Linked DNA regions of Caenorhabditis elegans. The protein of the gene in region 3 interacts with the protein of the main gene of each other region in a pairwise test. Each region holds a gene or a part of one and is shown on either strand. Other genes may lie near its edges.

Evidence for each region.
Region 1: the proteins of sdpn-1 (region 3) and phat-1 interact in a two-hybrid assay, tested with the Caenorhabditis elegans proteins (one large-scale study listed by BioGRID).
Region 2: the proteins of sdpn-1 (region 3) and ubc-15 interact in a two-hybrid assay, tested with the Caenorhabditis elegans proteins (one large-scale study listed by BioGRID).
Region 4: the proteins of sdpn-1 (region 3) and B0507.3 interact in a two-hybrid assay, tested with the Caenorhabditis elegans proteins (one large-scale study listed by BioGRID).

What each region holds. Positions count from the first base shown.
Region 1 is NC_003279.8:5,041,445-5,048,615, forward strand, and holds phat-1 (ShKT domain-containing protein), read right to left. Parts: upstream 4,277-7,171; coding exon 4,201-4,276; intron 4,155-4,200; coding exon 4,080-4,154; intron 4,036-4,079; coding exon 3,622-4,035; intron 3,440-3,621; exon of another isoform or gene 3,296-3,439; intron 3,252-3,295; coding exon 3,072-3,251; intron 2,991-3,071; coding exon 2,851-2,990; 3' UTR 2,754-2,850; downstream 1-2,753. Other genes in the region: C46H11.3 (putative actin-related protein 2/3 complex subunit 5), read left to right, coding at 48-120, 200-315, 360-611; C46H11.7 (ShKT domain-containing protein), read right to left, coding at 751-890, 937-1,365, 1,409-1,483, 1,533-1,608; phat-2 (ShKT domain-containing protein), read right to left, coding at 5,034-5,170, 5,538-5,987, 6,030-6,110, 6,465-6,546.
Region 2 is NC_003280.10:2,908,374-2,916,438, reverse strand, and holds the start of ubc-15 (Ubiquitin-conjugating enzyme E2 J2), read left to right. Parts: upstream 1-2,835; 5' UTR 2,836-2,891; coding exon 2,892-2,903; intron 2,904-5,742; coding exon 5,743-6,008; intron 6,009-7,598; coding exon 7,599-7,797; intron 7,798-8,065. Other genes in the region: ncap-1 (NECAP PHear domain-containing protein), read left to right, coding at 1,448-1,572, 2,508-2,517.
Region 3 is NC_003284.9:7,992,767-8,000,750, forward strand, and holds the start of sdpn-1 (SH3 domain-containing protein), read right to left. Parts: upstream 5,330-7,984; coding exon 5,313-5,329; intron 1,844-5,312; exon of another isoform or gene 1,595-1,843; intron 44-1,594; coding exon 1-43.
Region 4 is NC_003283.11:8,765,601-8,773,258, forward strand, and holds B0507.3 (Mediator of RNA polymerase II transcription subunit 15), read left to right. Parts: upstream 1-3,308; 5' UTR 3,309-3,318; coding exon 3,319-3,400; intron 3,401-3,446; coding exon 3,447-3,568; intron 3,569-4,002; coding exon 4,003-4,908; intron 4,909-4,953; coding exon 4,954-5,142; 3' UTR 5,143-5,273; downstream 5,274-7,658. Other genes in the region: B0507.9 (Protein containing ALS2cr12 (ALS2CR12) signature), read right to left, coding at 1-164, 210-324, 389-438; srx-115 (7TM GPCR serpentine receptor class x (Srx) domain-containing protein), read left to right, coding at 6,299-6,340, 6,879-7,030, 7,079-7,308, 7,382-7,658.

The DNA.
Region 1 (7,171 bases), on a different chromosome or scaffold from region 3:
TATCATTTTTTAGGTTTTCATTCAGAAATGTTTTTCTATTGTAGATAATGTACAACACTGACTATAAAAAGTACAATGTTGATATTTTTCATCCAGCTCATTTTGAAGATATTCAGGAAGGTTAGTCAATCTGAATTCAATAATTAATTTTTGAATAAATAATAATATTTCAATAAATAATTTTTGAAAATTTTTTCAGAATCTGCAGATTGTGGGCCAAATGTGCAAGAGGTTCGGCAATTTCTGGAGTCAAATCGACTTGAATATGCTCTTCAATCCGTTCTCTTAAACCCACCATTTGGTCATTCTGAACAGGTTTTATTTTTTAATGTCATTTTGCAAACCTCTTTCCCTTTTAGGAACTCAAGAACCGTGCTGTTCTCCTTGTGGCCGAGGTTATTCATGCATTTCGACAGACCGATATTGAAGAATCAGTTCACAAGCTGTCAAATGAAAATGGAGACATTCTGATGAAGTATATTTACAAAGCAATGCAACTATGCTCTGATTCTGCCACGTGTCTTTCTCTACTATTGTGGCATTCTCAATTGGTATCAAAATTTGGGCAGGGATCCATTGTTCGAGTGTTGTCCAATCGACAACGTCTCTAATTTTTTAATGAAGGTACATGTATCTGTTAATTTCTGCAATAAAACTCCAAGATCCAAAGTTTTTTATATGAAGAAGTTCAAATTTACAACAACCAAATATATTAGGAAATAAATAAAATGATTCAAGAAAAAATGAAGATTATCCAGAAGTGCAGAATCCGCAAGTGAGTGGGCATTGAGCTCTCATAAGGGTTGCGTAGGCAGAATTGGTACAGAATGCACGACGGTTTGGACAATCGGAGACTCCTGTAGCTGCGTTGACTTGGTCAACACAGGTGGCTGAAAAGTTCAGACATGGAACGTTATGAACAATTATTAATCTTACTTGAAGCTGTTGTGGAGGAAGATGAAGTTACGGTAGAGCTTGAGTTACATCTTCCACAAGTTCTTGGGCATTGTTGAGTCATGACGGCATAGTAGACTGAATCATTGCACAAAGAAGCTCGTGCAGTACAATCAGAAACTCCGGTGGATGGGTTTACAAGATCGGCACAGCTAGTGGAGCTTGTGGTAGTTGAGTTACAACGACCGCATGTTCTTGGACATTGTTGAGTCATGACTGTGTAGTAGGTGGTGTCGTTGCAAAGATAGGCAAGTGCTGGACAATCAGAGACCCCGGTAGATGGATTGAGGCGATCAGCACACGAAGTTGTAGAGGTTGAGGTTACTGTAACTGCTGAAGCAGTTGTGGTTACTGTAGATCCATCAGAATCTGTTACCACAGCAGCAGTGGTTGAAGTCACAAGGGGAACGGCTAAAAATCATAGGTCACGGTTGAAAGAACCTTGTTGACTTACTGGTTACAGGACAACATTGACCAGCTGCCACATCACAGACCTGTGTCTGGCACACAAGAATGCCACCGTCACATGCTGAAATGAAACAACTCAAACTCTAAAAGTAATGGCAGTCTTTACTTACGTCCTTCAGATTCAGAAGCTTCGCAAGCAAATGCAACCGAGAAAATGGCAAATGAAATAATGAATTGACGGAACATGATAGAATGATGGTTATAGTTCTGCAGCAGTTGCTTTTATATTGTGAGATACTGTCCATCTGTGCAAACAGTTGTCTCTGTTACATTTTTGGAAACAGAATGACCATTGTTTTACATGGAAAAGTACCTGGATTGAAAGCAAACATTTCAATCCTCTCTGCATAACAATTGCTTCAAATTTAGTAAAATGCCCCTCGTAATTAACAAAGGAACAGTTATGATTGAAAGATTTTTATGAAATCGATCCTTACTTTCACGCAGTTCCATCCAATAAAAATATAATTTTAAAGTTTACCATTCTGGGAAAGACAGTTATCTTCTGAGAAAGTATTTTAATTTCATGTTGTTCGGTTAATCCTTAGAAGCAAATTGAAATTGGTTATTGTTGGAAGGACAACACTTCCATCAAAAAATGTATACAGTTTTAGGAGATCGTTGCAAAAATTTTTCACCAAGTTGTTCGGATAGATCAGCCCAATTATAGTTTTGACTTGTAAAATCTTCTTTAGAATTCGATCCTTTCTTTATTTTATTTAAAGCCGATGATCTTTAAAACCACCTTCCCTTTTGAAAAACTTTTGAGAGCACGGCAAAGGCAAATTATTTTTTGCGATAATGTAAAAGTACAATACAGACTAACTTAAGTGAGTGTAACACAGGATTGAGTCAGTCAGCGATAATTTTTTTCAAAACATCATCAGAGTTTCTTTTTAATTAGAACGCTTTTCGTTTTCATAGTTTTTTTTTTAATTTCCTGTATTTTCCGAACATCAATAATTTTTACAGGCGCTGATAAAGTAATTAATTTGTGGGAGCAAAATAGACGTATAGGTACTCCAATGGGTGCTTCATTTCATTTTTAATAAGTTTTTAAATTTTTAAATTATAAATTTAATTTTTTTTAAAGTTCTAGTATGTAAGTCAGACTTTTGTATAAAAAAACAATCATTATAAGGTGAAACTCAACGAAAAATTATTGACGCCAGATTCATTTAAAGTTGTCCAAAAAAGTTTTAATTATTAATTCAATGAAACAAAATAAAAATTGGATATGTTTTCAGAATGTTTGAAAATGAAAAAATAAATATTTTATTACATTTAAAACATTGAGATGTTTTGTTTTGAAATCGAACTTTCTCAAAATCTAAATTATTTAAATTATTTTATTTACTTTAGAATCATAAATCACAAAAACCAGACGGTGCATAAATTAGAGATAAATTATTTCCACAAACACAAAAATTATCCAGCAGTACAGAATCCGCAGGTAAGTGGACATTGGGTACGCATAAGGGAAATGTAAGCGGAGTTGGTACAAAAAGCACGACGATTTGGACAATCGGAAGTTCCTGTAGCGGCGTTGACTTGGTCGACACAAGTGGCTGAAGAGGTTTAAGTATCTTAGTTGTCGTATCACAAACAGTAGAATCAATCAGCTATAATTCTTCAGAAATAAAACTTACATGAAACAGTAGTAGAAGCTGATGACGTGGCAGAGATAGTTGAGCTTGATGTGCATCTTCCACAAGTTCTTGGGCATTGGGTGGTCATGATGTCATAGTAGACTGAGTTGTTGCAAAGAGAAGCACGAGCTGGGCAATCGGAAACTCCAGTTGTTGGATTGACACGATCAGCACAGGTGGCTGAAATTTCCTCAGTTAGTGCAAACGAAAATATAAGAAAAGCTAAGGCAAACAAAGCAAGCATATTAGACAGAAGCAGGTAAAAAAAGCTACAGCTGATCAGCGAAGCAAGAGGCAACTGCCACCTACTGGAATAGCTAGAAGTACTATTTGTGGAGCATCTTCCACAAGTTACCGGACACTGGACTGTCATAAGATTGTAATAAGCTGCGTTATTACAAAGTGCGGCACGAGCCGGACAATCAGATCTCCCGGTGGATGGGTTAGAACGATCGGCACATGTGGTGCCTGGAAATTTAAATTGTTGTCCTCTGTTTCAAGAAATCTAACTCTAATTAAAGAATCACGTTCCAGTTTTCAGCGAACTTACTGGACGATGAAGTAGTCGAAGAAGAAGTGGAGCATCTTCCGCAAGTTCTTGGGCATTGAGTGGTCATGAGTGTGTAGTAGTTGGAGTCGTTGCACAAAGCAGCACGAGCTGGACAATCGGAAACTCCGGTGGATGGATTAACACGATCAACACAGCTAGTAGAGCTTGTTGAAGTAGAATTACAGCGACCGCATGTTCTTGGGCACTGCTGGGTCATGACTGTGTAGTAGGTCGAGTCGTTGCAAAGGTAGGCAAGAGCTGAACAATCAGAGACTCCGGTAGATGGATTGACACGATCAGCACACGTTGTCGTGGAGGTAGAAGTTACTGTAACTGATGATGCAGTTGTGGTTACTGTAGATCCATCGGAATCGGTCACAACAGCAGCAGTGGTTGAAGTAACAGCGGCAGCAGCTAGAATTTCAAAGGTCGCTGTTGAAAGAATCTGTTTCACTTACTGGTAATAGGACAGCATTGACCAGCTGCCACGTCACAGACCTGTGTCTGGCACACAAGAATGCCACCGTCACACGCTGAAATAAAGTATTTATTCTAAATGCGATTACAGTTGTTACTTACGTCCTTCAGATTCAGAAGCTTCACAAGCAAATGCAACCGAGAATATGGCAAATGAAATAATGAATTGACGGAACATGATAGAATGATGGTTATAGTTCTGCAGCAGTTGCTTTTATATTGTGAGATACTGTCCATCTGTTCAAACAATTAACGTTGACCATTGTGCTATAAGTCTTTGAAATTGAAATAATGTGATCAAGAAGTTTAGATACCGTTCGTGATGGAAGTTTATGACGAAATAGCTAAAAAGTATCGCTTGTGGCAAATGTTTCAACAAAAGAGTGCTGAAATTATTAAATTTAAATTACATATATTTTGACGTAGAATGTGTATCTCGGGTCTGCAGTGATCGATTTTTTGCTGAAAATGCCGTCAAAATAATTATGCAAATAACGGCTATTATGACAGTTTTACAAGCTTGCAAAAACCCCAGAATACAACTTTAGATTGTAGGAGTTGAGCTTAACTTTTTGAGATAATCTAGTAGAAAAATTGGATTTTCAAAAAGAGTCTGTAAGTAACGTTTCTTTGTAAGTTTTTCAAGTAAAAGTTTTTTAAAGTTTTATTTCTTGTCTATCTGTTTTTATCGCAATATTCCATATTTTACAGTGGCTATCCACGAGCTAAAGGCTGTTCAAACATTTCAGCTCTGTTTCAAAAATAACAAAATTTTCGCAGAACAATGCGCGCATTGTTTTTATATTGGTACAACCAACCGGCGTTTCGGATACTATTTGAACACATTTCTTCCCGACTCGCAGCGTTTTATTATAAATTAAAATGAATTGGACACATTATTACACAATTATTACTAATCGTGATGGCGAAACAAATTATCCGGATGTACAGAATCCGCAGGTTCTTGGACATTGAGCACGCATGACGGATTGGTAGGCTGAGTTGTTGCAAAGACCAATGTTGGATGCACAATCAGATCTTCCGGTGGCTGGGTTGACTCTGTCGACACATGCTGGAAGATTTTCAAGATTGGTTTTAGAAAGTAACGAATGCTTGTGTTATTGTTGAAAATCTATGGCCGTACATTTTTTAGATAATACAGTAGATTGTTTTACCTTAGAATCGGATGTTTCAGATTTTTTTGGACAGTTGTTTTCTCTTTTTTTAAATAAACAAGTAGTTAGTTTCGTCTAAAGTTGGGGAAAGGTTGGCTGGTAGTTTTGAGTCATTAAAAACTCGGACTTTTTATTTGTGATATTTGGCCATGTTGCAATTAATATGAAAATATTTGTACAACTAAATTTTGCTTAAATTTAATACTAAATCAAGCTCCAACCGTTAAAATCAGTTTTAACACTTTTATAATTTTTCCCACTTACTTCCGGAAGAAACAGTTGCGCTGGATCTAGTGGTAGAAGATGAACCGGAACTTCCACAGAATCCACAAGTTCTTGGGCATTGAGTTCTCATCAGATCAATGTAGTTGGAATCATTACAGAAAGAACGCAGGCTTGCGCAGTCCGAAGTTCCCGTCTTTGGGTTCTTCAAGTCAGTGCATGTACCAGTTGTAGGTGTGCTAGAGAATGATGAGCATCTTCCGCAAGTCTTTGGACATTGTTGAGTCATGACGTCAAAGTAGTTGGCATCGTTGCAGAGAGCTCTTCTATTAGCACAATCAGAAGTTCCTGTAGCTGAATTGACACGATCAACGCATCCTGTTCCAGATGAAGTGCGGGAAGTGACAGTGGATCCACTACGGATAGTCGTGGCAACAGTCACAGTGGATCCCGAAGCGTCGGTGACAACGTTAGATGGAACCACAGTGGTGACTGAAAAGGGAAATTTAAAATTTACTGATTCCAGAGACTTACTGAGATCCGCATTGAGACAGCAACTTAAAAGAGTAAGATCACAAGTAGATCCAGTTTCACAAGGCAAACCAACATCGCATGCTGAAAAAATGTTTGGATTAAAGAATCGAATTTGAGCGCGAAAAAAGTGTTACTCGACCAATGACATTAAGGCGTGGTCAACGTCATTGATTGGTCAAAAGTTTCAAAAATCTAAAAATCTAAAATTGCGCCCTTCTGCTGGCTTTAATTTGAGAGTAAATTTCCCAGAAAAACTTTTGGAAGTGTTCAAATTTGAAGCCTGTGCGATAGTTTCTTTGTGAAGGGTCTTGAAGCGAGAGATGTCTCAACGAATAATCTCAAAGTGGAAAGCCAGTATGCTAATTAAGTCCCAATTACTGTATTGCTCGTATTACTGTAGGGGCAAATGATTATTAATTTTCAAGTAAAACATACGTGCAGTAATTCTGTCTGGGCTACACGTTTGCCCGAAAGCGACAGCCAAAAATGCTCCAACTAGGAAAATAGACTTATTCATTGTGTATCAAACGAAATGATTTGATGATTTATCTCGATTTTCACCTCGTTTATATAGTACACCTTTTGTTTCCCTGCGTCTCCTGATTTGCACGGTCTTGTATGTGAAAATCCGACAATCCGCAGGTGAGCAGATGCACAAACAGTAGCCATTCTGTAACATTCTGAAAATCCATTACAATGGACAATCGATCACTTGATGATCTATTTGAACAGGGTTTTGTATTGTTCTGGTTGTGGTGGACAACTGATTTTCTTTGTGACAATTGTGTTCGTTGAAATTTTCATTTGAACAATGAAAAATTTTAATTTTTTGCTCAAAATTTTCTAGTCACATTTGATAAGACTAAAAATTTGTGCTAAGTTTAAATGTATGTACTAATGATTTCACTGATAAAACAAGAAGCAAAGAATACGGTTTAATTGAAAATTTCCAATACAATTTTTTTCAGTAATGCAACAAAAACTTAAGTTCTCTCGTATCTCGTATTCAATGCTAGCATGTATGTTCGGACAAAATGTTTTTTTTTAACCTGTTCTTCTCTGTACATTTTAGGATATGCAATTTGATGCACTTTATTTTCTATATCAAACGGAGAAGTATGTAAAATTCGAAACTTCTCGCA
Region 2 (8,065 bases), on a different chromosome or scaffold from region 3:
TAAAAATTTCGCTGAATTTTGGATTTTTTGGTCGATTTCTGTGGAAAAATCGCCGAAATTTGCTAATTTTTCACTAAAAATCTTCGAAAATTTGATTTTTTGGCTGAAAAAGCCTAAAATAGTGTTGAAATTGTATAAAATCTGAGGAAATTTCCCAATTATTCGCTGGAAATTGACATTTTTTCACCACTTTTCTTATCTTTCTCATCACAAGATTATTATTGACTTTTTTGTGGAAAAAATGTGATTTTCAGCTGAATTTTGGCCGGAAAAATGCTAAAAAAACCGATATTTTTGACTGAAACTTCAAAAAATATCGAATTTTCAGCATTTTTCCGGCGAAATTTTTGATTTTTTCGAGTATTTTGGCTGAAAAATTGAAATTTACAGCCTAAATTATCGGAAATTAACCTTTAAAATCGCGGAAAATCCAATTTTTAGCTTAAAAATTGCTGAAAAGTGCAATTTTTTCCACTTTTTGCTCAGAGTTTCCATGGAAATTGGTGACGAATTTCGTTCGGAATCTCTGCGCCTCTTTGGTTTTTTTTTCTCTGAAAATCCTCCGTCTGCTTCTCTAATTCTCCACTTTTTCCCACATTTTTGTGTGTTTTTCGCGCGATTTTTAGACAATTTTCCTCCAAAAAAAGGGTTTTTTTCCGAGCTTTTTGAAAAAAATTGTATAAAAAATGCAAAAAAAACCATTTTTTCAGTTTAAATCTCAAAAATTCGTGAAATTTGCCATTTTCAAACCGCAAAATTTGAATTTTTCGATTTAAAAAAGTCGAAATTTTACCAAAAAATATTTGATTTTCGGCAGATTTTTTGCATAAAATTTCAGAAAAGTAGCTGAAAATAGTGAAAATTCGAATTTTTCACTCAAAAAATTGCTCAAAAGTTCGTGAAATATGCCTTTTTCTCCAAAAAAAAATTGCCGAAAAACCGTGCTTTTTCGCGAATTTTCAGCGATTTTTGGCTGAAAAATCGCATTTTTGGCCGAAAAAATTGGGTTTTTAGACATTTTCTCACCAAAAACTATGCTTTTTTCGAGTTTTTTGAAAAAAATTGCGATTTTCTGAGAAAAAAATCTTAAAAAACCCCATTTTTTCGGTTTAAATCTGAAAAATTCGTGAAATTTGCCATTTTGAAGCCACAAAATTCGAATTTTTCGATTTTAAAACTCGAAAATTCATGATTTTAGTCGAAATTTTGCCAAAAAACTATGATTTTCGTCAGAATTTCGCATAAAATTTCCGAAAAGTAGCTAAAAACGCTGAAATTCGAATTTTTAAGCCCAAATTTGCAATTTTCAGTCAAAAAATGCGATAAAAGTACGGATTTTTGCTCGAAATCAACTTTTTTTCTTCAAAAATTCGAGTTTTCCACTCAAAAATCATAGAAATTCCTCTAAAATTTGTATATTTTCGACTAAAATTTCCCCAATTTTCAGATCAGAAACTCTCGTCCTTCCACCACCACCACTACGGCTTCATCTTCTCTGTCTTCTGCTTTTGCTGCTCCACCGCCGGCTCCGAGCTCTTCGACGAGCACAACGGCGACGTCTGGCAATTTATTGTCAGTTTTTTGCTCGTTTTTGAGTGAAAAATTGATGGAATTCACAAAAAATGGCCAAAGAATCCTCAAAATTGGCCGAAAATTCTGAAAAATGACCTAAAAATCACCGAAAAACGGCCAAAAATTATCTGAAAATCGCCGAAAATCTCAAATTTTGAGGAAATTCCCGCTAAAAATTAATAAAAATCACCGAAAAAAGGCCAAAAATTACCTAATAAAGGCCGAAAATCGCCTAAAAAGGCCAAAAATTCTGAAAAATGGCCAAATTTCAATTTTTCACACACAAAAAATCCCTGAATTTTCTATTTTTACTCGAAAAACTGTGGATTTACGGGGGTAAAAATTCAGTTTTTAGTGCTATTTCACAAGAAAAACACAGCATTTTCGACAAAAACTCCGATTTTTAAGCCAAAAATTTGAGGTTTTTAGTTTTTTACGTGAAAACCTGAACTTTTTGCCAAAAAAACACTTTTTTTTAGACTAAAAATCAATTTTCGATCAAAAATCACTAATTTTGCCTGAAAAAATATAGATTTTTCCACTTTTTCACTGAAAAAAAACTGGATTTTCACTAGAAAATCAAGTTGTTTTTAGACCAAAAATTTTATTTTTCCGCTGAAAATTATCGTTTTTCAGTCAATTTTCAGCTAAAAATCCCTGAAATTCTGGATTTTCAGCCAAAAAACTCGAAATTTTCCAAAAAAACCCCGTTTAAAAATGAGTTTAGACTGAAAATTCCGATTTTTGAGCCAAAAATTTGATTTTTAATCGAAAAAAATTGGATTTTCAACCAAAAAATCAGTTTTTCAGTGATTTTTAGAGTAAAAATCACTGATTTTAACACAAAATTCCAGTTTTTCGTGATTTTTCACTAGAAAATCCCGATTTTTCCCCAAAAAATCCATTTTTCCGACTAAAAATCCCCAAATTTTCAGAGATTTCTAAGCGATGACGTCATCTTTCTTCTCCGTACAACTGTCTGCGTCTCTTCACTTCTCTCTCTCCACCTTTTCTCTACGCTTTCCATCGCTAATTTATTGAAATTTCCTGTCCCATTTCATTTTTTTTTCGAATTTTTTTTTAATTGTTAATAGCTTCTGTGATTTTTCCCTGCTTTTTTCTGATTTTTTCCGTCAAAAATGGACAATTTTCAGTCATTTTTATTGATTTTTTGCTATTTTTTCCCCGGAAACGGTTATTTTTCACCGCATTTTATCTATTTTTCGCCAATTTTCGGTTAATTTCATCAAATTTTCCGTCCAGATCACTCTCTTGGGGCGCCAAAAACTTGGTGAAACCGAATCGATTATCTGGTGAAAATGCTGAATTTGGTGAGTTTTTTTTTTAAACGAAAAATCATTAAAAATTATAAATTCTCATTTAAAAAAATTGAAAATTTAATTTTGTGAAAAAAATGTGGAAAACTTCAATTTTTAAGCCAAAAATTTCCAGTTTTTTCGGATTTTTTTTAGCAGAATTTTTAAAAAATCGATGAAAAATTAGGATTTTTGGCATTTTTGCCGCGAAAAAATCCACATTTTCAGAAAAAAAAATCCAAAAAAATGAAATATTTACTGGAGGAAAATTATAAACTTTCAGAAAAAAACAATATTTATTTGTTAAAAAAAACAATTTTTCTGAAAAAAATCAACATTTTCGAAAAAAAAATCTAAAAATCAAAATTGATCTGTTTTTCCTCAAAAAAATTCAAAACTATCAGAAAAAATTAATATTTTCTGTTTAAAAAACCAAATATCCCCCAATTTTTCAATTTTTGGCTAATTTTTAGGGTTTTTTACTCTAAAAAAATTCAAAATTTTCTTTAAAAAATCAATGTTTTATTTTAAAAACCAAAATTCCAATTTTCCCCGAAAAATTCAGGAAAAAACCCTCAAAATGGCCCAATTTTTGGTTAATTCTTCGGGTTTTTACCATAAAAAAATTCAAAATTTTCTGAAAAAATCAATAATTTCCGTTAAAAAATCGAACTTTTCAAAAAAACTAATAAAAAAAAAACATAATTAAAAATTTTCAAAAAATTCAAGCTTATCGAAAAAAACCAAAATTTTCCAATTTTTCCACTAATTTTTCAATTTTTGGCTAATTTTTTGGTGTTTTTACCCTTAAAAAATTCGATTTTTCCACTATAAAATTGAAAAACCCCCTAAATTTTTCAATTTTTCGCTAATTTTTTGGGTTTTTACCCTAAAAATTCTCAATTTTTTTAACCAAGCAATCAATTTTTCTGAAAAAAAGTGAATTTTTAATTTTTTCTTATAGTTTTGAATTTTTTGGAGGAAAAACAGATCAATTTTGATTTTTAGATTTTTTTTTCGAAAATGGTGAATTTTTCAGAAAAATTGTTTTTTTAACAAATAAATATTGTTTTTTTCTGAAAGTTTATAATTTTCCTCCAGTAAATATTTCATTTTTTTGGATTTTTTTTTCTGAAAAATTGGAATTTTTCGCGGCAAAAATGCCAAAAATCCTAATTTTTCATCGATTTTTCAGATAATTTTTTTTAAATTCTGCTAAAATACGACAGTTTTCGGAGCAAAAATCCGGAAAAATTGGAAATTTAACAAAATTAAAATTTCAATTTTTCGCTAATTTTTTGGGTTATTACCCTAAAAAATTCAATTTTTTAATCAAAAAATTTTAATTTTATAAAATTCGAAATTTTCTGAAAAAATCAATAAATTCTGTTCAAAATTGAAGCTTTCCAAAAAAAAAAATTTCTGGAAAAAACCAAAAATTTCAAATTTTCTCCAAAAAAACCCCAATTTTCTGGCAAAAAAACCAAAAATTTTCAATTTTTCGCTACTTTGTTTGGGTTTTTTACTCTAAAAAAAATTAAAAATTCACTGAAAAAATTCAAAATTTTCTTAAAAAATCAATGTTTTATTTTAAAAACCAAAATTCCAATTTTCCCCGAAAATTTCAGGAAAAACCCACAAAATTGCCCAATTTTAGGCTAATTTTTGGGTTTTTACCATAAAAAATTCAACATTTTCTGAAAAAATCAATAATTTCTGTTAAAAAATCAAACTTTTCAAAAAAAACCAAAATTTTCAATTTTTTCCACTATAAAATTGAAAACCCCCGAAAATTTTCAATTTCTTGGTTAATTTTTTGGGTGTTTTTACTCTAAAAATTCAATTTTTTAATCAAAAAATTTTAATTTTCTGAAAAAATTCGAAATTTTCTGAAAAAATCAAAAAATTCTGTTAAAAAATTCAAGCTTTACAAAAAAAAAATTTTCTGGAAAAAACCAAAAATTTCAAATTTTCTCCAAAAAAACCCCAAGTTTCTGACAAAAAAACCAAAAATTTTCAATTTTTGGCTAATTTTTCGGTGTTTTTACCCTTAAAAAATTCGATTTTTCCACTATAAAATTGAAAAACCCCCTAAATTTTTCAATTTTTCGCTAATTTTTTGGGTTTTTACCCTAAAAATTCTCAATTTTTTTAACCAAGCAATCAATTTTTCTGAAAAAAAGTGAATTTTTAATTTTTTCTTATAGTTTTGAATTTTTTGGAGGAAAAACAGATCAATTTTGATTTTTAGATTTTTTTTTCGAAAATGTTGAATTTTTCAGAAAAATTGTTTTTTTAACAAATAAATATTGATTTTTTCTGAAAGTTTATAATTTTCCTCCAGTAAATATTTCATTTTTTTGGATTTTTTTTTCTGAAAAATTGGAATTTTTCGCGGCAAAAATGCCAAAAATCCTAATTTTTTCATCGATTTTTCAGAGAATTTTTTAATAATTCTGCTAAAATACGACAGTTTTCGGAGCAAAAATTCGGAAAAACTGGAAATTTTTGGCTTAAAAAATGATTTTTTTCACTTTTTTTTTCACAAAATTAAATTTTCAATTTTTCGCTAATTTTTTGGGTTTTCACCCTAAAAAATTCGAAATTTTAAAAAAATTTTCTGGAAAAAACCAAAAATTTCAAATTTTCTCCAAAAAACCCCCAATTTTCTGGCAAAAAAACCAAAAATTTTCAATTTTTCCACTAATTTTTCAATTTTTGGCTAATTTTTTGGTGTTTTTACTCTTAAAAAATTCGATTTTTCCACTATAAAAATGGAAAAACCCCTAAATTTTTCAATTTTTCGCTACTTTTTTTGGGTGTTTTTACCCTAATAATTCCCAATTATTTGCAGGGTCCCGGCGTATCCGTACCAGCAGCTGGCACAGCATCCAGCTCAGCCGTTCGACGCCTCCAAAAAGACTACGCAAAACTGATGCAAGATCCTGTTGATGGAATTAAAGCACTTCCAAATGAGGATAATATTCTTGAATGGCATTATTGCCTTCGTGGATCACCGGATACACCATTCTATGGTGGTTATTATTGGGGAAAAGTGATTTTTAAGGAGAATTTCCCGTGGAGTCCACCTGCTATCACGATGATTACACCGAATGGAAGGTAGTAATGACGGACGGACACGAAAATTGCGAAAAAAAAATCGTCAAAAAATACGGTTTTCAATGATTTTTATGTAACTTTTGAGCAAAAATTAATTTTTTTGACGATTTTCCTCATTTTTTCAGAAAAAATTGATTTTAATCGCATTTTTGGCCATTTTCCAACTTTTTTGTAAATAAAAATCATTGGAAATCGCCAAAAATACGATTAAAATTAAATTTTCCCGAAAAATTGTAAGAAAATCATTGAAATTGGTCGAAAAATGCGATTAAAATCGATTTTTGCTGAAAATGTTCAAAAATGTCATTTTTGTTTTTAAAAATTGGATTATATCAGCCAAAAACGGCACAAAATCCTTTTTTTTTCCTCGAAAAATGCAAAAAATCTAATTTTTTTTTTTGAAAAATTCGGAAAAATCAGTAAAGATACGATTAAAACCAAGTTTTTCTGAAAAATATCGAAAAAATCGAGAAAAATGGTAGAAAATGCGGTAAAAAACCAAATTTTGCTGGAAAATAGCGTATAAAATGGTCAAAAATACGATTAAATTTACATATTCGCTGGAAAGTTGCACAAAAAAGTTGGAAAATGGCCAAAAAATGCGATTAAAATCAATTTTTTGCTGAAAAAATGAGGAAAATCGTCAAAAAAATTAATTTTTGCTCAAAAGTTACATAAAAATCATTGAAAATCGTCAAAAAAAATCGATTTTTACCCGGAAATTCATTTTTTCTCGATGAATTTCTGAGAAAATTGCAATTTTCTTTGGTTTTTCAGATTTTGATTCAAAAAAGTTCACATTCCATTCTCTCAGAATTTACAGAATTTTAACCAATAAATTGTAAAAAATTCAGTTTTGCATTTGAAAAGTTTAACCTACAAATGGCCTAATTTGACGATTTTGTAGATTTTCACGGAAAAATTCATTTATTCTTATAAAAACTTGAAGTTTTCGTCTAACAATTAAGATTCTCGGTCAGTTTTAGATAAATTACTCCAAAGTTGGGAGATTTTTGCGAAAAATCGTTAAAAATTATCAAAAATGCCATATTTTGTCAGGAAAAATGTTTATAATTTAATAAACCCGAAAAATATCGAAAATCGGCTAAATTTTTAGATTTTTCAGCACAAAAAAATGATTAGAAACTGTTGTGAAAAACGGTTTTAATCCTCAAATTTTTTTTAAATCGGCAAAATGTGAAATTTTGCCCAATTTTGTGCAAATTTTGACTCAAAAACCTCAATTTTCCTGTGGCAAATGGATGTATCTATTGAGTATTGTGATGTGCAAAACCTCGTTAATTCGCCAATAGAATTACGATATTCTCATCACAATTCCCGATGGGCTCCATTTAGTCACGTTTACGGGGAACCTCTGCCCAAATTTTCATTTTTTGGCTAAAAACATTAAATTTTTCAACAAAAAAAAAAAACTCCGAAAAAAAATTATTATTATTATTTGCATTAAAAGTGCCCCAAATTTTCCTTTAAAAAATCGCTGAAAAATGGTAAAAAATGTCATTAAAACGGTAAAATTTCAGTCATTTTCTGTCGAAGTTTCATTTAAAAAAAAAAAAGTGTTTTTTGCAGATTCCAAACAAATACCCGCCTATGCCTATCAATTTCTGATTATCATCCGGAATCATGGAATCCCGGATGGACTGTATCTGCAATTCTAATAGGACTTCATTCATTTATGAACGAAAATTCGCCGGCTGCCGGATCAATTGCCGGAACTCCACAGGATCAGAGGATGTATGCGGCGGCGAGCAAAGAGTTTAATGTTAAGGTGCTGCTGCTGCTGCTCTCGAAATGCTCCTGAAAATTTGGAAAAAAAAATTGGAAAAATCCTTAAATTTTACCTGAAAAACGCAGAAATTGAGCAAAAATGTAGAATTTTAAAAACCCAAAATGGAAAATTCTGCGAAAAAACTCGAATTTCTGGCTCAAAATTGCAAAAATTCCCCAAAATTTGGGGCAAAAGCCTTGGAATGTGTGAAATTTTGGAGAAAAAACCCCGAAAATTTGGCCAAAAATCGCGGATTTTGGGCTGAAAA
Region 3 (7,984 bases):
TCCAACTTCCCAGAATCCTGGTGCCAACACGTCAGCCGCCATGCTGAAACAATCAATTAAATGTATCAAAAGCGAGAAAAAGTATGCATGACTGCACGGAATGAGGCATCGAAGTGCATAAGAAGAATGAAAGACAAGAAAGAAAATAAACTGATAAGGAAAAATATTATTTTGCAATTATCAAACAACGCCTCGGTTTAAAACTTGCTTGACTATTTCAAATATTTCCACAAAAGTTTAATATTTTGCGTTATCTTCTTCGCATTTTCTTTCCAGAAAGATTCAGACAAGATAAGCAGGTGGGACTTTGTGTATAGGAAATGTGCAGAGAAAAGGTGTGCATAAAGATAATCCAGGCTAATTGAACAGCGGCCTTCACCTATATTTCATTAAATTCATTTCAATGTGAATATGAATGTTATGGAATAACACATTAGATTTCGCTAGTTCTAATCAGAAGATTGTTACTCGGCAGCACTTTTAAACAAAAATCGCACACGATGTCTTATGACTTGATGTGTGAAACAATTGTAGACGTTGCTATGATATGAAAAGTCTCACGAGAGCCGGTAGAGCGTTAAAAAAAGTTATAAAAAGAATGGAGCCACGAAGAAATGAGAATATTTAAATTGCAAAATGTTCGGGAAAGGTGGAAAAGGGGAACAGAGTACGGCCTAATCGTCCTTCGGCGCACTTATGCAAACACCAAACCGCCACTAGATGACCTGATTTTGGAGCCGGCAGGTTGCGCGACCGAGGGCCAAAAAATTACTGGTCAGGAGTTTTTGTTGCAGGAAAATTGAAGTTTCAAAGATATAGTGTTACCAAAAAAGTGGATGGCAAACGGGTAAGAAGAACCGTTGGCAAATAAACCGGGCAGGTAAGTGGTCCTTTGTTCAGTGACTGAAGTTTGGCCGTGAACTAATTTTTTCTGCCGTTTATGAAAAAATTTCGAATTCAGGAACGAAAAAAAGATGTATGCCATTTTGTGTATAAGAAATTTTGCGATGACTATGTCCAACAAAAAACTTGCAGCATTGGTGAGCACAATGAGTACATCGAGAATTAGCTAGAAAGTAATTTTAGTGCTCAACACTGAGAGTAATATAATTTCTAGAAGTTCATGTTTTTTACATCAGTGGTTGGAGAATAAGAAGCGTTGAAAATTTAGTTACACATCAAAAAAAGCTGCTTGAAGTTCTATAATTTATAAACCTAAAAATCGAGAATCAGTGAATTCGTCGATTCACATGACGTTTGATATTTTCGAAAAAATATTTTATTTTTATTTTATTTTGACTAGATATGGTTCATTTTCAATCTTGGGGACTACTGTATTACTTCGAACATTCTTTAATTTCAATAGAAACTACGTCATTCAATTTACCAATCACTATTTTTGACTACACATAATACACGCCAATTAAAACGTATGAATATATAAAAAGATTTGTGACAAAGTCTGGAAATGAAAATGGAAATGAAATGAACACGGAAATTTTTTTAGGGAAAAAAGGAAAACAAGACGATTTCTCAGAGGACTTCGCACATTGTGTTAATTGTTCAATCTTCTCGCTGACCAGCGGTTGTGTTTTTTTAGCGGAAAGAGCACTTTTGCGCGAATTGAGCTTCCAAAAACAGAAAAAGGAAATAGAGATGACAATGAGTTGAACAAACGAACAGACCGCACATGCAAAAAAAGAGGAAAAGTTCATTCGGGCAAGCCAGAGCGGCAGCGGTGGGAAGGACGAGCATCTTGCGAGACTGTAAACACGATTTGTTTGCAGGACATGGAAGACGACATACAGTTTTAAAAACAATGGGACAGCCAGAAACACGTCGGCCAAATGCAAGAATCGGAGGATGAGAAACGAATTTTTGAGGCAATCCATGAGCCCGCAACGAGAGAGGAAGAGCAACCAAAACAGAATAGGTGGAACTAGAGACAGATACATTTGGGCGCTGCCGGCTTACAAGCAAAGCAGAGTCCGCTCGCTGAGGTGACTGTATGAGAAGGATTACACGAAGGCTTTAACAGAAACAGGAGCCAACACCGGTGTTTGTGTTGGTGGGACATGTGGCTGAGAAATGCATATGGAACGACTTTGGAAGAAAAAAAACAATACAACCAAAGACTGAAATATAACTAAAACTGTAGGTAGGGAAAATTGAACTTCGGGAAAAACAGAAATTGTTTTTAAATTGTTTATTTATATGTAGAAAACATCTGAATGTGCACTACATTTGTCGTTTTCTTTTTTTTTGAATTTTTGACCTAAAATAATTCCCAAAACTGACACAAAAATATAATGTAGTGAGACAGTTTTGACATACGGGAAATATTTGTTATTTTTACAAGAATACAATTCTAGAACACAAAATTAAGTATAGCACCCTATGGCGAAATTTGAAAAAAAGTATTTGTTTTGATTTTGAAAAACAGGGAATCAAAATTTGAATTCAAAATTCCATACAGGAATATGAAACCTTGACAGCTGATTGGTGAAAAGAGTGAGTGAAAACCGAATAAAAACAAAAACATGTATTCATCCGTTGCTTAACGTAATTGAACAACGGACTTTTTGACCAATGTCCTAGAAGATTGCCTAACAAGTTACTAATGGCATACACTTGAAAGACCAACACTATCGGAAAATATGTACAAGTTAAAGCGACCAGAATCAGATTCCATTCTAACGCAACTTATTTGATAGATATGAAGACCTAGTTTTAGTTAGAAGGGGACCAGTGTCTGAACATTTTACGGAAGAATATGGAAGGAATGTGTTGTCCTCGAAATAGGCAGCCCGATCTCTCCTTTTTCGTCAATTTCTTCGGTTACTTTCTTGAAAAAGTGCACGCTGTATTAATAAACGCAGATTTTGCGAACGGATAAAGAATTTGCATAGGTCATACATATACAGATACACACTCACTCAATCGCATACACAATGTTCTAATAGAACATCGTAAAAAGGTGTGAGAAGTGGAGAAGGTGAGGTGAGACTAACAGTGAAACAGAAGGTGGATGTGATGAAGAAACGATGAAAAAGTCGTATGGGATTCTGTTTCACTCCTTAAGCAGAAGAAAAAGAGGAAGCTTCATCTAATCCAACCGAAATGAATGATTTAAATGAAATTAACCGGTTTTCAAGGTTCCAGGGAAGATAAAAGTGCCCCGCCAGGAAGAGAGTACTGATATGAATTATTATGGGAATTCTGGTGACAGTGACATCATTATCAGGAGTTGGGCAGTTGGAACGTAGTCAATGTTGTTTGTTTTTTTTCTTGTAAATATAACATTTTTTTGTAAACAAAACAAGTTATTATTAGTGTCATTTAAAACATTGAGCTAACTTTAAATTCGAACAGTCTACATGATGACTGTGAACAATAAAAGAAAACACTGTTCAGGGTTAACGAGAATTCCTAAAAGTAAAAATTTCCAACAAAAAAAGTGGTTTTTGAAGATCTACGGATTTTGAAGCAATGTTTTATCAAAAAATGTTCCCGTTTTAAACTCAAAGCGTTTCAAACATGCATTCATGGCTTTTTTCATAAAAATTACTGGCGAAATATAGTTTTTAAAATTTTAATTTCTCAGCTTTGAGAATGATTAATTAGGACTTGCTGGTTTTTGGCTATGTACGGTGTAAGGAGGATTAAGTTCTTAGGGAAATAAAATGCAAAAAATCTACAACAGATATTTAAAAAAAAAAAGAAAAAAACTATAATTTAAAATTCTGACAACGACTAATTCTCAAAAAAATGTATAAATATGAATTTGTGAAAAAAAACGCTTTTTTCCTTAACATTTTTACAAGGAATAGGGAGTCTTAAAAATTTTCAATTTAAAAATTAAAAACTAAAATCTAATTTTTATAGATATAACACTTTTTTTAAACAAGAACGAAACACAACTTTCAAAAACAAAAATTACGTGTAGTTTCAAACTAAACAAATATATAAATTTTCGCGTACTTCTCGAAATATGATGTTAATCGCATAAAACACGACTCAAATTACTTACTTCTAATTAGCAACTTTGTAAAGCTATTCATTTCTGTGGGAAAAATCTCAAAATAGAAACACATACGACAATAGTGGATAACAGGGTTGTGATTACCTTAATTGTGAGTACTACTCCGTTCGGAAGGACTTAGAAACAAGAAATGAATAGAAGTTGATTGAGCGAAGGGATGCCAAGTGGACATGTAAAGGATATTCGCTTCTTATGTATTCTTAGTGGTTCGTTTGCCTAATTTGCAAAACACGTGCGGCTCAAACAGGCATTGCTAGTGAGTCACATATCTAACATGTTTTCAAATGAAAATGAGAAATTTCAAAATGGAACATAAACGAGTATCATAAATCAATAGGCGCCAAGTAGCGGGGCATGGTTTGAAAATGTTGAATGGTGATGGTGGAGAAATGGGTGGTGGAAATGGTTAGAGAGTACGAGACGTAGGCGAAATAGCTACACCGTGATGAGAGGTGAACTGCCAGCTGGTGCACAGATTCGATGGTTTATTATGTTAGTTTGCTTTCTTGCCTGTTGATATTATCCTAAGCAACAAGATGATCCGTTAATACTTGTTTTTTCATGATTGATATGGAATTGCATCAATTAAAATGTAGTCAGGTTGATGAACAAGTCGAAAAAAAAAGTTAAAAACATCATAGGAAGAGTCTATAGGAAGAAAAATTACAAACTAGTACTGCTGTAAACTTAAGCTTGCAAGCAAAAAATTGCAAATTCTGAGGGCTTTTAAAACATTCGTAACTTGCCTTGAGTAGCATCTTACTTGGTTGTTTTTTTTAATAGACATAGGTAATTTTCGAGGTGAGATATTTCTGACAATTACAAATGCGGCAATCGAAGTTTTGTCAATTGGCGAAAAGATTTTAAAACAGCAATGTCTGAACATTTCTGGAGATTTCAAAACGTATAAACGTATTTTGTAGTAAAATATTCGCTTTTCAAGCTTGATGTGTCTTGAATTGATAGGTATTTGACGGAACTTTAAAAATGAACAATTATGTCAAGGTTAAATGTTAAACTGTTTGAAATATGACTGAGGTTGAAAACTGCCGAAAATTCTGACAGTCAACTATGTATATGGGGAATTTCGAAAATCTTCACCCTTGCTTTTAGGTAGGTTTACTCGAAACATTTTTTTATGATAGATTTCTTGTGAAAAAAAACGTATGTGTTTGATTAAAAATTCAATATTATTCGGATACTTATTGAAAGTAAAAACACAATTAATATTTTTGATTAACAGAAACATTAACAGGCAAAATCTACTCACCATGGTAAACAGCTCATGTTTTAATAGATCGACGATTCGAGTGAAATAGACGAATGGAGCAACAGAACACGGGAAGTCAAGAGAAAATAGTTGGGAAAGAGTGAGAAACGTGATCAAAAAGTCTTTAAATGTACACTGTCAATAACTGATTAGGCGAGTGAGAAAGTGTGTGTTGGCGGGCAAACTCAAAGGTGTGGGGCAATATTGTTTGAGCGGTTGTTCAACTAACAAATATACATGGACTTTAAAAAAAAATACAGAGAATTGGAAAAATAGCTTTAAAAGGGAGGAGTTTTGAAAGTACTGATAGTTTTGAGTTTGCTGGAAACATTGTTTTAAAATAAATTAAATTTAGAAAACATAAAAATTAACGGTTCCTAAGAAAAGTCTCAAAGTTGCACAGCGTTAAACATATATTAGAAGTATTCATAGAAATTTCAAGCCACTTTCTATCTGTGAATCACTTTCAGCAAGATCAAGACTTAGGAGGATATCCAGCACAATCAAATGGTACTCTCCTTATTATTCGTAATTCACTTTTGATAGTTTCAATGAAAGGAAAGTGAAGTGAAAGTCAATGGTTTTCGGAAGCAAAGTGTTTGAAGTATCTAAGAGCTTCCAGGTGGAAACGCGAATGCCTTTTTTGTGACGGATGAGTAATTGTGAAACGCAGACTACTCACGGAAACACGATACATGGCGATGGCATTGGAAGAGGGCGAACGGTAAGAAAAAAAAGATGCAAAAAGAGGTGAAAACTAGACATTTTCAATATGCTGGATTGAATTCCTATCCTCACTTTGTTACCACTTGGCAGCTGAGATGCCAATGACTTTGCTTCCTTTTTCCTTCACCCCCCCCCCCCCCCCCCCGAGGACATAGGTAGCAGGCAATTATAGAAGACGAAAACATGGGTGATGATGATGATGACGATAATGATGGACGGATAGAGGGTGAAGGACAATAATAAGACGCAGAGATATAGGAGAGTGGAGTGAAAGAGCACGACTGTATAAATATGAGCTCAAGAGCAGTTTATGTGCTGGAGCATGACGAGCTCTTTCGAAAAGAACGCAACACCCTCTCCACGTTTTCGGCAGAAAAGAGTGACAGAAACAAAGAGAACGGTCATAAGCACGAGGTAACTGTTTTTACATGGGATCAGCGTTTGCACGTTGGTACGGATTACAGTTGGTACAACTGAAGATCAACACGTTCCGATGAACAATTGATCATCTAAGAAGGTTCAATAGAACAATACAATGCGGTGGTGTTGGGCAAGGGAATATATAATCAAGTGAGAAAACATTTAGGTGATCTGGCAAATTTGACTGCATTTGAAAAATGATACTTTGTAAAGAACTTATCCTAATATTTTTGTTTAACAACGCCGCAACATGCAAGCGTTTTCTTTGCTGAATGGAATTTTGTTTATAATACTTTCTGCACTTTTTTTTTTGAAATTCGTATCTTAAACTGGAATTGTAGTTTTTAGCCAGTTTATTTTGAAGGAAGTGCCTAATCTGCAATGTAAAGACAATTTTTTCGTGATTCATCATGAGTTGTGTCAGCATAAATATTTGTATTACAGCAGAAAAAGCAAAAAACCTGAGCAAACTCAGATTGTTTGGTTTTTATGTTGATCAACTTTCACAGAAATTTAATTAGATAATAGGTTAAAGAACGCACTCCTGAAAATCTGAAGATTCTCTTTTTCCCATTTGTACTGTACTAGTCTTTTTTTTCGAGATAACATCTGAAAGAAGGCGTCTGCTAAACGATTGTAATGGTGTGACGATTTAGGTTTTTTGGGTGAGTAGTTACCATCTTCAGACTTCCATCGACCAATTTAAAATTGAAAGTTGGTTTCAAACTGAAAAAAAAACTGGAGGAAAAACTAGATATTAGAAATAGTTCTTGAAATGTTTTCTGGCAATGAAAAATAGGGTTTTTGATTGAACTTGAACGTTTTTTTTTTTGAAAGAAGTTAGAAGTTGCAACAATTTACAAATAGCTATGCTGCTGTAAGAAATATTTTATATTTGGTTTTTTGTAAAAGAATAGGCACTTGTGAATTATGACCACAAATTTTTAAAATGTTTTGGTAATTTCGACATATTGTTTTTCTTACACTCAAGAAATTAAAACAAATCATAGCGTTTTCATTTAAAAATTAAAATTTTGAAATGAACATTACCAAACAAAAATTGGTAATTGGACAGATTTAAAAAGTTGTAGCTCAGTCTATGATTTTGGACGTACATTTTTCAATTTATGCAACTTGAAATACGCCCAGTAAAGTTTTGTTTAAAAAGAGTTTAAAATGTTTGAAGTTTTTCAGAAGTCGGGAAATTGCTGGTGCTCCCATTGGATTTCCATTTCAGCAACTTTCGATGCAAGAAAAGTGACCGATAATCCATTTGTACATTGCTCTGCATTCTATCGAAGACTGTGTACACCTTGGAATGCAAGGTTTGGTTTGAAATCGTAATTTCCAGATTGATAACATTTACCTTCTTCTTGTTAACTGTTTATTCTACTCAGTTGAGCATTTTTCAGTCTAATGTAGTTTTATGTTGTTCTCTTTGTTTTCCTTCCTTTTTTCTCACATAATTACCATAATTTGTCTCATGTTTCTTGTTTTAAATAGCCTCAAGCCATTTTCGTGTTGGT
Region 4 (7,658 bases), on a different chromosome or scaffold from region 3:
CGCTGGAAAAACTTGTCAATTTCTTCTGTCTTCGATTTTATGTTGATAATATGCTGATTAACTTTTCTGCGGTTGTTTCTCTCTTGAGCAATAATTTGCATTGAAAGATTCACCATTCCCATTTTCATGACTTGGCTCAAATCATTGCGAAGCTCACATAACATCTGTAAGATACACTGCTAACTTAGCAATTGTTAACAAACGAATACCTCTTCATGATCGGCGCTTGCCTCTTTTCTGATATCAATAACACTGTCCTTTTCAGCATTTTGAATTTTCAAGTAAAGCTCAAATAGATCTTCAGCATGCTGTTGAGCAATAATTCTGGAATTTCAATAATAATAGAAATTCATAATACGACCATACTGTGTAACATATTTGCACTCACTCATTGTTGTCTATTCTGGTTTCAACATCATCAAAAATTGATGTCTCCATTGCGACTGTTCGTTTGTCAAATTATTGTAGGGATAATAAACTTACAGAAATCAAATATTCAATAAAAAACGACATGAACTTGAAAAGTGGTTCTTTCTTCCTCATATTTATTTTGTTTGTCTCATGGAGAAAGATAACGTACACTTTCAACTACAACTAGCAAGTGTTGTTGGTGTTGTTTGAAACAAAGGGAGGGAATGGCTGGGGAGTGATGAAATCCAGCATTTTGGACACTCGGCAATTCAGGTAACTGTTGGTTTCTGAAAGTTTTGGCAATTGCTCAAACCTTTGAAGACTTTACTTGAAATTAATTACTGAAAAACTCTGAATAGTTTGATTGTGAGAGACATTTTTTTTAATGTGAAATTTTTGCCACAAATTATTAAAATCTATATGCTGTATTTCCTCGAATAGTATTACAACTTATTTGTTAGCTTTGACAACACGTATCTTAGTTTTTGTTTGTTAGAAAAACTGTCAATTAGCAAAATATTTCAAACTCTTTTTCTACCATTTCTTTATTGGTTGATTTAGAAATTATTGGAAATCAAGTAAGGAGATTGCCGGTTGCCGAAAACTGTTGAAAGCTGTGCACCGCTAGGTTTTGCATTCGATAAGTTATCGTTGAACCCAGTGAAACCATGATGGTATTTTGGGAGAATTCAGAAAACGTTTTAATGGAGTTTTTTAGATCGTAATCATGAACAGAGGTTACAACTTATTGTTTTAAAGTGCTTTGCTGAATAAATTGAGTCAATTTAAACGGAAAACAAATCTAAAGAATATTGCACATTATACGTTGGCATGACAAGGACGCTACATTTGCAAAAAAACAGTTGAATGACTTTCACGGATCGGTTACAGACAGTCATTTCTGGATAATTCAATTCAAGTGATTAATCGCAATGAATGTTGTATGTTTTTGCCACTGGAACGTTGACATATCAATGACGCCGGCTGAACGTTTCTGTAATTTTCAGATTTTATCCAAATATATAATATGCACCATAATAGTAATATTTATTTGTAAAGTGTTATTCTACCAAATTCAATCAAAATTAATCAATCGTCGATCTGTATTCCTCCTACAAATATTGGAGTATTAGTTCCTGGAAATTCAGTGTATTTATTCCACGCTATTTTAATATTGTTTCCCAATCCGACAACATTCATCACAACAAATGGACGATTCCATTATATATTAACGGCCCAAACAGAAGTACCAACATCATCTCACCTACTGCTAATAATTTTTGAGCAGCTCACAAAAAAACAAGAGCTGAATGAAATTCGATTCATTCTAAATGCGCACTAGCTCATATTTTATGTATCAATTCCCCTGGCCCGACCTCATACATTTTTTATCGGCCGATCGTCGTCGGTTCATCTCAATTGCACACATACACTAACCAAACCTACAGCTTCACACACATACACTAACCAAACCTACACAAACAACACAATTTAAATTATTTTTTCTTACTTTTTTTATAGAACGAGTTTGACTTTTTAGTGCTCCTCTTGAAAAACTTTCTCTTTGTTTTATAATAATTTGTGGAACAATCAGGTAGGTGGCGTCGGTAAGGAATTATTTTGGTTCAGGATGATGAAAACAATTTGATAAGAGCATTCAAAGTATTCAATACATTCAATGTTTACCTGAAGAGTCAAGTGATAGTCATAAAGATGAACAAGTTTTTGGTGATAAGAGAATAGAGTATCAACGACAGATTCAATACATTTTGAAAGTGGAAATGATTTGAACAGAACAATAAAAATTCTAGAATTTATGAATACATATCGCGTGCGGAATAATTTCATATGTTAATTCGTTCAATTCTTTTTTATTTCAATCGCATTATTTTCAAATCAAAAATGTTTGAATGCTCACACATCCAGCAATTGTGGAATACAAGTTAATTAAATTCTCAGTTGTGCCTATGAATGAAGTTGAAATTGTTGACTAACTTAAAATTTTTCTCACTTTTTTCATACATCAGGATACAAAAGTTTTTAGCAAACTTTTCACAAGACACAAGACAATATCGTAACCTCAACAAAATTTCAATCAGCTTATCGCTGAGCATGTTCACTTTTTTCTGTCTCTTTTTTAATCACCCAGAAAACTTTTGACGCGGAAAGAATATTAATGTCATCGTTTGAGAACTGAAAGGTTAACTTGATAACAACATGGTATTTCGTTTTAAACCGTTGTGTACTGGCTTTTCGAAAAAATCTGTAAAATTTAAATAATTTCTGCACGAAAAATGATTTTTTTTTGTTTCATCTTCAACAAAGTAAAAGGAAATATTTTGAACAGCTTGAAATCCCTCACTTATATGTCTGGAGGAAAAACTTTTTTATTTTAAGACTTTTAAATTATGTCTCATGTTTTCAATTTATGATATATTATTTAAATTTACACCATGGCGCAGAAATAAGAGGTAACTCTCCAGTTTGAAAATTTTCACTTTTTACTGCAAACAAACACAGTTTCTGTCACATTGTGTTGCTCGGTTCGATTCTGTTCCATTTACACTCTGCACCAGAGTTTCGCTGTGATAAGAACATGATTTTGATGTTGACAGCAACGCCAATTTTTCTTATCACTAGTCAAGATTTTTAGAGCCCTGAGGCTATCTACAATCAGTTGACAACGGTCTACAACAACTGATATAGTCTTATCAGTTTCCAAATCAGTCAATCATACCCAGAGACTGCCTTAAATTTTTGTATATACCAGCATTTTATGGACACAATCATAAGGTTTTCCGGTTCCACCTCATTTTGAATCTAGTCATACTTATTTTTTCTTTCATATTTTGTGCGCAATTTTTCACATTCTTAAATTTCAACATTTTTAATTTCAGTGGTTCAAAAATGGATTTAGCCACTCGCAAAAGGCTACTTTCCGCCAGCGTGGATGTGCCCGCTATGAAAATTTCAGCTCCACCAACTCTAGGTTTGTTGTTTGAGTTGATTTTCGAAAATTGAATTTCTAATTTCAGAGCCACCTGCCAGTTTTATGGATGTCCTTTTTCTAAATCTATTAAACGCGTTGAATTGCACGGAACCTTCGCAACGCATTTCGTTCCTTGATGAAATGATCTCTAGACTTCAGCGATTGAAAGTAAGTTCCGGAAATATTTTATTTCTTATCACATGATATGACATTATCAAACAATTTCTTGCATTAAAATATTCTTTCGCACGGAGTGACACCTTGCTAGAATTTCACGGAATTCACAAAAAGTGTCCGTGAAACTGTTTGATTATGATCGATTTTCAGTGATTATGAATATGATCAAAGCACACACAGATATCATGCTCTGCACAATGTTTCGAAAGAGCCACGTTGCATATGCAACATTGCAGTGTCAGCGGTTTTCTTATCAGTTTCTGGCGTAGTGCCAAGATTTGGAAACATGTTGAAAAAGTACTGAATACAGTATAACGTAGTTAACTGCCGAAACTTGTAATCTCGATAAAATATTCAAAAAACTAACTGCTGGATACAATATTTTAGATTTTTTCTTGGAGATGACTTTATTGAGATATTTTCAGCAATACCATCAACGAATCGAGTCACTCATAAGCAAACCAGTAGTTTCTGAAAAGACATCAACAGGATCACCATGTCCAACTGAACATAAACCATTGGACCACCAACAAATAAAACGATGCATTCAAGAAGATCAGCAAATGCTTCTGAACATGTCAAAGCTGATAACTTTAAATCAAGCTCACAGTCATCCAACTTCAATAGCACCTTCTTCATTTCAAGTTCCAGTTATTCCTCCACCTCCAACTCTGGTTACGGGGCCTTTAAAAGTTGCACCGGCTTCACTTGCTCCAGTACCAATGGAAATTCAATCACAAGAGCAACCGATAAAAAAGTCTCCAGCTCCTACTCCGTCTTTAGACGCATCAAATAAACCGGTCGCTGCACTTGCATCGACTCCACAGCAAAAAGAATCCACGAAAAAAACAGAAAAGGAACAAAAAGAAAAAGCTGCTCCAAGTGTAACTGCACAGCCCCGTATTCCACATGTTCCAAATACAATTCCATCGAAACAGTTTGCACAATCAGCGGAAGTAATGATGAATGATTTACAAGACAAACAGAGGAAACTTCTTTCCTACATATCATCCGCTCACAACGGAAGTGTCACTGATGAAGTACTTCATGATTACTTACGTCATCCATTTGTCTTATTGAAGGAGAAAGGTGTTATCCGCCAACAACCTAATCCATTTTTCCATCTGATGAGTACTCCACAAGTACTAGCAGGTACTCCATCAGTCATCCCTACACCAGCAATGATGTCACCAAATCCTGCAATGGTTCAAAAATCATCGAAGCCATCTACTCCGATTCCAGCCCCACCAGTGCTCGTACCACAAGTGGAGCTCCCTGCCAAAACAAGTTCTGTCTCACAGAAAACAACGGTATCCCCACCCGTGGAGAAAGTAAGATCAACTTCTACAATATAGAAAATAACTATAATTTTTAAGGTTACACCGCCTCCTCAGCATCCTCCCCAACTCTCACTTCAAGTTCCACTCAATGGACCTCAAATGGATCCTACCAAACAATTTCTAGTTCCAATGACTCGTGCTTGCAATCAATGGTCCGTAGTTTCAATGGCTTTACCCCTGAGACTTGTATGTCGTTGCGGTCAGATGCCATGCAGATGTCAATGATAACTAGCCTTTAATTCTGAGGATGTATATTTTATTTTCTAATCAAACATCATTTTTTCCAAAATTGTGATCTCGTTTTTATTATTGTTGATATTGCTGTAAAAGACTGTGAGATAAAGTTATCTGTGATAGTTAATAATAATTTTTCCAGGAGATATTATTTTAGTGAAACTGTCTGCCCGTCTTCTCTTTTTTTTTGCCCTGCGTGGACTGCCAATTAAGCAAAAAGGGTTAAAGGTTAAATGAAGTTAAACACAATGGTGAATTAGTGGTGAATTTTGATTACTTCTGTCAAGTTTTCTGTAAACATGTTGTGTTTTGTCGTGAAATGAAACTGATTACTGCTTTATTTCCAGAAAAACCCTAACGCCCAATTTTCCAAAAAATCCTAATTTTCTCAAAACAATGATTTGTTATTTTGTATTGTTTTTCCACGTATTCAATAAAGCGTAATGAATGGAATTTAATTGTCACTGCAGTTTGACAATTCAACTAACGTTGTCTAACGCTCAAGATTTTATGTTATTTTTCTATAAAATCGTATTTCTGGTGGCCCTAGAGCCACTTTTCCATAAAATCGTATTTCTGGTGGCCCTAGAGCCACTTTTCCAGAAGTAGTAGAAGGTTGAATTCGATAGTTTCCGGTTTTCTTTTAACTATGTTTCAAACTGTTCAACAGAAAAGCAAGAGAAAATCAAGTAAAAGTTCTCGAAACCTTTCAATATCTCTATTGACACGTACATCTTTTTTCTGAAAAAAAACGAACTTCAAAAAGCTCAATTCATAATTTAAATTTTCACGTATCTAGGTCAATATTAGTTTGACTCTCCCATTTAGCTACTCAAAGCACAGATAAATTCCAAAATATTTTAGATAAATAACATTGAGTTCGGCGATGCTTGAAGACCAACTAGGTACAACTTTTTTTTTGCTATACTTTTATACCTCCCACCTTCACAGAGAATTCGATTTTCATGTATCAGCAGAATGAACTGATCTTTCTGTGAAAAATTTCAGCCGTCTCGCATAACTTCCTAAAAAATAATAAATTTCATTGAAAAAGATAATTGTGAGAACCAACGTTAGACCGAAATATGCATTTTTCAGATCATTATTTCTCATTTCTATAATTTTCAGTGGCAGGCTATAGTCGATCATGATAGAATTCCGGTATATTGCAGCAACGATTATGGTGCTGGTAAGTATTGCAAAACGAGAAAACGTTCTTTATCTATTATGACACACGAATTAAAATTTCTCCAAGAAGTTCTCAATCAGAGGTGGGCGGATATTTTTTCGGATATTTTCTAATAATGAATTTATCAATAAGTATTGATGCAATTATTCTGGAAGAAATGTATCCGAACAAAAGAGTAACTATTAAGCAACATTTTAATATGATAAAACCTAGAAAAATTCTACAAGTTTTCTGTATAAACGATATGCAAGTCCATTATCCGATATCCGTAATATCCGTAATATCCGATATCCGATGTTGCTCGGCTAATAAGTTTTAAGGTCTCGGTAAGGAAAACTTGTAGAATTTTTCTAGGTTTTATCATATTAAAATGTTGCTTAATAGTTACTCTTTGGTTCGGATACATTTCTTCCAGAATAACTGCATCAATACTTATTGATAAATTCATTATTAGAAAATATCCGAAAAAATATTCGCCCACCTCTGTTCTCAATAGATAAGATTACTTAAAAACTTATTTTTATGAATAACTTTTCAGTTAAGCCTTGGAGACATAACTCTCAATGGAATGGTGATTTCCAGAATGTTTCGCGAAAGAGAAGGATTCAATAAGATATGTGTGAATAAATCTGTTGCAAATGTGCACATCGCTACGGCATTCCTCATATGGGCTGCTCCCTGTGCTTACCTGTGAGTGTTCGCAATATATGTACTTTCGAACAAACTTTCACAATTTAGAAATGATTATTATCTCCCACAACAATTTAACGTATTCTTCGGCCAAATAGTTGGATGGGCCCCATATTTAATGTCAGGCCCATTTACTCAAATAAGCCTAGCAGTTAACAGAGCAGTTGCAATTTCATTTCCTTATTCGTTTAATAAACAACACAGAGTTCCCTGGACAAATATACTATTAGGTGGATTATGGTGTATTGCAATTTTGATGTCACTTCCCGCAATGATAGGTATGCGGCCCAAAACTTTTTAAAAATTGAGTTAGAATTCCGAATAACGCTTTCAACTTTCTCAAACTTTTAGATGGCTGTAGTTACATATTCTTTGTTGATAGTGTATCATGGAGTCCGACAGACACAGTTTGCTCAAGAACTTTGTCGGAATATGTGACCAACCTAGTCCTAGTAATGGCTATAATTTCATTCTCAATAAATGTTTCGAGTATTGTAAAAATAGTAAGATCCGCGATTGGATTGAGTGCAGTTATGGATCAAAACGTGTCAGAGTCAAGAAAACGGAAAAGAAGAAAGATGTTCATTCAGTGTGTAATACAAGATTGTACTCATACTACCGATTGTAT